2 linked regions of the Sus scrofa genome follow. The protein of the gene in region 2 purifies or fractionates together with the protein of the main gene of each other region. This does not show direct contact. Links are inferred from orthologs where the notes say so. Each region holds a gene or a part of one and is shown on either strand. Other genes may lie near its edges.

Region 1 (2,845 bases), on a different chromosome or scaffold from region 2:
CTTCTATGACTCTTTAGCTCTTCTCTTAGCCATTATCACCTCCTCTGGGACTGACCTCTGCTTAGCCAGGTCATGTGCCAGGCTCTGAGGAATTCTCTGGATTTCAAAGGAAATGTACCTGCACCCCAAATAGCTTCAGGCACCACCATATTCCCTAACTCTTTGTTCGTGGGCAGGGTCTTTGGATGATTCTGTGCAAAGGGCTGGCGGTAAAGCTTTTGGGCCAAGGCTGTAAAAGCTGAACAGGACTCATTTCTCCTGCTGTGTTGGCCCCAAGCTATACACTGACCTGGTGAAACCCCCACCATCCTGTGGTCCCAAGTGTCTACTTGGAGTTGAGCCCCACCTGCCCTCCGGGTGTGAGTATGAAACATCTATTGTTTCAACCAACTGAGATCTGGGGGCTGTTTGTTACATGGCAGAACAGAAGCCACACAGCCCCAATACAACACCCATTTCTTGAACTCAGTGTTTCATGCAGAATGAATTCCCTCAGTGTCCTTATCTGGAAAAAGAGGCTGAAAGAAAGTCACTGACCCACGGCCACACCACTGGAAAGTGGCCTTCTCTCAATAATGGCGCCCAGAAAGAGCAAGGGTCCCCAGTTCCCCAGCCTGAGACGGAAAGGCAGTTGTGATAAATACATTTATTTCCCCAAAGTCCCCCTGCACATCTGGCCCCACATCCAGTGGAGGAGGATGCCAGGGGGTCAGAGAGCAGATGAGATGTGGGGCTCACAGTAGGACAGGAGAGAAAGTCCTGGATGTCTCTCCACCAGGAGTTGGGCCAAGGGTGCAGGAAGAGGGGGTCTCAGTAGACCACCTCGTACACAGTGGCCTTCTTGTCCCCCGAGCCCGTCACAATGTACTTGTTATTCCCGGAGATGTCACAGCTCAGGACAGAGGATGACTCCTTGGACTGCCGAAGGGAGGGGAAGGGGGTGTGAGTCCAGGACAGGGAAGGGGGGGAGAGAAGGGAGAGTGAGGCATGGCCAAGGCCAGTACTGTCTGGTTCGTGCTCCTAACCACCCACCCCTTCAGAAGGAAAAGGCGAGATGGCTGGGGCAGCACCTGCCCCTAAAGATGAGCCTATGGTCCAGGCTGAGACCGACACAAGACTCGGAGGAGCCCAACATGGGGAGCCTAGGCGGGGGGTAGGGGACAAGGGTGACATGGTTTCCAGAGAAAGGTCCTTTTTTGGAGCTGAGCCCCTGGACAGGTGATGGTGCTCCTGAGAAGAACGGGACCACTATTTTTTGGAAGCTCACAGAGGGTGTGCACCAGGCATGAGGCCACACACCACAGCAGAGGGCTAAGGCTTATAGCAGGATGACCCACACCAGTGCTCAGAAAACTTCTGTAGAGTCCAGTGGTACATTTTTAGCTTTTGACCTGAAAGCTCAGTGAAGTCCAGATGAGCTCTAGCCAGTAAGCCCAGAAACCAAATCAGTCTGTATCACATGATTAGCTTTTTTTTTTTTTTTGGCCTCGCCCATAGCATGCGGGAAGTTCTGGGGTCAGGGACCAAACTCGAGGCACAGCACCAACCCAAGCCCCAGTAGTGACAACACCAGATTCTTAACCCACTGTACCACAGAGGAAACTCCAAGATGGCAAATTTTACAAGTATTTTATCACTATTAAAAACAAAAACCTGACGTTGTCGCTGTGATGCAGCAGGTTAAGAATCCGACTGCAGTGGCTCAGGTCAACTGCAGAGGTTCAGGCTGGATCCCCAGCCTGGTGCAGTGGGTTTAGGATCCAGTTTTGCTGCAGCTGTGGTGTAGGCTGCAGCTGCAGCTTGGATTCCATCCCTGGCCCAGGAACTTCCATATGCCATGGGTGTGACTATAAAAACAAAACACGCAAAATCTGGTTGCACACAGATGTGGCCCTCGTGCTGACCATCTGCTTCTGTAGCTCCTGGCTAGTGGGGAGATCCCTCTGTTCAAAGCCCCCCCTACCCTCCCCCAGGTCCCTGGACACCTGGTATCCTGCCAGGGTGGGGACCTCAGACAGGAGGTACCTGGAAAATGCTGGCTCCATATGGCGTCCTCCAGGCGTTCAGCAGGTTGTCCTTCCCTGTGCTCACGAACCACCGCCCTGGGGGAAGGAGGGTGGGGGGTTCAGGAGAGGCGACCACAGAAAGCCTGGGCTGGGGGCTGGGGGCAGAGGCGGGGCAGCCTGTTCTGGCCTCTCACTGTCTTTCCTGCAATTTTTTTTTTTTTTTTTTTTTTTGGTCTTCTTAGGGCTGCACCGGTGGCATATTGGAGGTTTCCAGGCTATAGGGGTTGAATCAGAGCTGTAGCCACTGGCCTATACCGCAGCTCATAGCAACAGCAGCCACCACAGCCACAGCAACACCAGATCTGAGCTGCGTCTGTGACCTACACTACAGCTCATGGCAACGCCAGATCCTTAACCCATTGAGTGAGGCCAGGGATCAAACCTGCATCTTCATGGATGTCAGTCTGATTCGTTTCTGCTGAGCCACGACGGGAACTCCTCACTCTCTTTCCTGCACTTCTGTCCTCCTCCGGGGGACAGAGCCTCTCAGGAGTCTCCCCCTCTCATTCCAGATGAACTCAAGGCCCCAAAGAGCTCTGACTGGCCTTCAAGAAGGGGGAGCCCCAGGACAGTTGCCAAGTGAAAACAGGGTACTCAGGGAGTTCCCCTGTGGTGCAGAGGGTTAAGGACCTGGCATTGTCACTGCAGCAGCTCAGGTCGCTGCTGTAGAGCGGGTTCAATCCCTGGCCCAGAAACTTCCACATGTCACCGCCTCAGCCAAAAAACTAGAAAAGTAAAAAAATAAAAATAAAAAAATAAACAGGGTACTCATTTACATT
Region 2 (3,736 bases):
ATCCAGCATTGCTCTGGCTCTGGCATAGGCCAGCAGCTCCAGCTCCAGTTGGACCCCTGTCCTGGGAACCTCCATATGCCATGGAAGCTGCCCTAAAGACACAAAAAGATCAAAAAAAATGAAGAAGAAAATAAGTTTATTTTCAAAAAGTTGGGGTGTTTTTGTGGGTTTTTTTTTTAATATTTGTTTGCTTTTTAGGGCCGCACAGTGTCATATGGAAGTTCCCAGGCTAGGAGTTGAATCTGAGCTATAGCTGCCAGCCTACACCACAGCAAAGCAGGATCCTAGCTGCGTCTGTGACCTACATAGCTCACGACAATGCCAGACCCTTAACCCACTGAGCGAGGCCAGGGATGGAACCTGCATCCTCATGGCTACTATTTGGTTTCATTACTGCTGAGCCATGACACGAAATCCTAAAAACAGGTTTTAATTCAACTGTGGATCATAATGATGATTCCAATGTCAAGTGAGAAGTCACTGTAGCAGCAAAAACAAATATTCTTTAGAAATTCCTCTTAAGGAGTTTCCATTGTGGCTCATTGGTAATAAACCCAACTAGTGTCCTAGTGAACTGTGGTATAGGTCACAGACACAACTTCCATTCAACCCCTAGCCTGGGAACTACTTTTTTTTTTTTCAAGATAAATTTATTTTATTTAACCCACTGAGCGAGTCCAGGGATCGAACACGCAACCTCATGGTTCCTACTCGGATTCGTTAACCACTGAGCCACGACAGGAACTCTAGAACTTCTGTATGCTCCGGGTGTGGCCCTAAAAAGACATGAAAAGAAAAAAAAATAAATTTATGTTAAAGTCCCTTTTGGAGTTTCCCACATGGCTCAGCAGAAATGACTAAGTCATTGAGGATATGGATTCAAACCCTGGCAGTCAGGGATCTGGTGTTGCTGTGAGCTTTGGTGTAGGTCACAGACCTGTTGCTGTAGTTGTAGCTTAGTTTTAGCCCCTAGCTTGGGAATTTCCATTTGCTGTGGATGAGGCCCTAAAAAGCAAAAAAAAAAAAATCTTAATTTGCATAATGCAGGGTCAGTTTAGATAAGCTTGGGGAAGGATTCCAAACTGACAGTCTCCTCTGAATGTTACATTTCATAACTTCTGAGTCTGCAAGTTATCCATTGTCCTTTTGAGTAGCTAGCTCAAGGAAAAAATTTACAAACTATAGTCTGGAATGGAAATCATAATAGAGCTACTTAGAGAAAAAATATATAAGAATTATGTGTGTCACAAATATATAGGTCAGTTTTATTGTCGTTTTTTTGTCTCTTTAGGGCCGCACCCTTGGCATTGGAAGTTCCCAGTCTAGGGGCTTAGGTATGGCCTAAGTCACAGCCACAGTGACTCCAGATCCTAGCTGAGTCTGTGCCCTATACCATAGCTCACAACACTGGATCCTTAACCCACTGAATGAGACTAGGGATCAAACCTGAACCTTCTAGTCAGATTCATTTCTGCTGAGTCATGATGGGAACTCTAGTAGGTCAGTTTTAAATGAAACCAAGGTGGACAGCAAATCAAAAGTCAAGTATATTGAATCTTACAGTGTTGATAATAAAGTTTTATATGTGAAACTGATGTGAAGGTCATTGAAGTTATATTTGAATTAGGTTTTACTGAGTTTTCATATTTCTGATTGAGCAACCTGATGTTCTGTTCACTTAGCTGGTGGAGCTGTCGAAGGCTCAGGATATAGAAGCAGGAGATGGCACCACTTCGGTGGTCATCATTGCTGGCTCTCTTTTAGATTCCTGTACGAAGCTTCTTCAGAAAGGTAGGTAAGAAGACTTGGAACATGCTTTATATTACTGAATAAAGGCAAGAAGTTGCTAAGTAATATCTGATTTAAAATTTAATTTGGAACAGCTAATTTTTAATCAGAAATTTTTAGATTAAATTTCACCGTATTATGTGAGTTAGAAAATGTTTTCTTTTTCTAGGTCTCCTTTTGAATGGAATTTGATAAAATTTAGGGTATAGATGAGAACTGTGATTTGGGATATAATATGGGTTCTTGATTTGGTAAATAATTTTTAGACGTAGTAGTGACTCTCTGGTCAATTATTCTACTTATGTAGATTTGTAGAGTTTTGAAAAGTATGAAATTGGTTTTAGTCTCAAATATCACATGAGTATGTAACTAATCTATACCAAATTAAATGGAAGTAAATTATTAGGACTATTTGTGATTAAGGTTATAAAAGCCATTATGTTTATAACTGAAGCCTAAATTATAGTTTTAAATAATTGAGAATTTTACTGCTTTGAAATGTTAATGAATAGAGAAATTTTAAGTCATGTCAAATATGAAATTTGTCTGTTACAATTAAATAAGTGGTCCTTCATAAATGGCAGGGATTCATCCAACCATCATTTCTGAGTCATTCCAGAAGGCTCTGGAAAAGGGTATTGAAATCTTGACTGACATGTCTCGACCTGTGGAACTTAGTGACAGAGATACCTTGTTGAATAGTGCCACCACGTCGTTGAACTCAAAGGTGAGACCAGCACTGAAAGATCATAGTAAAATTATAATTTAAGGTTCATTAAGAATTACATACAAATCTTATGCTGTGGTTATTGATGCTGGACAGTTTATAAATGTTATTTCTCAAGAGTGACCATGTTACTAAACTAATTTTCTATAGGATTATGAGTAATCTGGTTAGTCCTGAGTACTGAGTACCATATTAATAAGAGAGAAATGCAAGTTTTCTTTGTTCTTTTTTTTTCTGGCCATGGCATGCAGGAATTCCCCAGCCAGAGATCTGACATGAGCCACAGCAGTGACAACACCGAATTCTTAACCATTCCCCGCCCCCAGGGAATTGAGAGCATATATTTTTAATTTTGTATCCTGGTTTCAGCAAACCTGAATAGAAAAGACAGTTTATATAGAATGTTTTCTCTTATGCTCTCCCAAAAGTGATTGAGATTACTTCTCGAATATTTTTATCATTATAAAGTAATAGGGCTTTTTCTGTTGTGACACTGATTCTGTTTTTTAATAATTCTAGGTTGTGTCTCAGTATTCAAGTCTCCTTTCTCCAATGAGTGTAAATGCAGTGATGAAAGTGATTGACCCAGCCACAGCTACTAGTGTAGATCTTAGAGATATTAAAATAGTTAAGAAACTTGGGTAAGTATCTCTCATTACAGCTTTAATTAATAGAAATCGATTTCGAAAGTAATATTGGTTGTTGGCAAAAATAAGTTAAATGGAAACCACCTAGAAAGTCACAAAAGTTTGGTTTTTGTTTGCATAGCAATTTGTATTAATGTGGGAATCTCAAGAATTTATTTACATTCCTAATGATGGCAGGGCAGTGTGGTTCAGGAATGGGCACTAGAAATGTGAATGAGGCTAAAGCACATTTTAATCACTGATAATTAAATTACTGATGATTTTTAAGGTGTTCTACTAAACTTGCAGATTTCCTCCCTCTTAATTATCTCATTTCCTTCTTCTTTTTTTTTTTTTTTTTTTTTTTTCTTTAAGTGGGACAATCGATGACTGTGAGTTGGTAGAAGGTCTGGTTCTTACTCAGAAAGTGGCAAATTCTGGCATAACCAGAGTTGAAAAGGCTAAGATTGGGCTTATTCAGTTCTGCTTATCTGCTCCTAAAACAGATGTAAGTAAAACTAAATGAAATGGTTGCTTGTGTGTTTGGCTAATACTGAAAACTTGCTCATTATTATAAAAATAGAAAATGCTGATA

The links. The genes of interacting proteins can lie anywhere in the genome.
Region 1: the proteins of CCT4 (region 2) and TLE2 purify together in Homo sapiens (affinity purification with mass spectrometry; 3 studies listed by BioGRID and IntAct, with this or other methods). This does not show direct contact. The link is inferred for Sus scrofa from reciprocal best matches to the Homo sapiens genes CCT4 and TLE2.

Annotation. Positions count from the first base shown.
Region 1 is NC_010444.4:75,534,595-75,537,439, reverse strand, and holds the end of TLE2 (transducin-like enhancer protein 2), read right to left. Parts: intron 2,103-2,845; coding exon 2,026-2,102; intron 919-2,025; coding exon 811-918; 3' UTR 628-810; downstream 1-627.
Region 2 is NC_010445.4:79,930,650-79,934,385, forward strand, and holds part of CCT4 (T-complex protein 1 subunit delta), read left to right. Parts: intron 1-1,682; coding exon 1,683-1,791; intron 1,792-2,372; coding exon 2,373-2,515; intron 2,516-3,034; coding exon 3,035-3,156; intron 3,157-3,516; coding exon 3,517-3,649; intron 3,650-3,736. UniProt on the Homo sapiens protein: Component of the chaperonin-containing T-complex (TRiC), a molecular chaperone complex that assists the folding of actin, tubulin and other proteins upon ATP hydrolysis.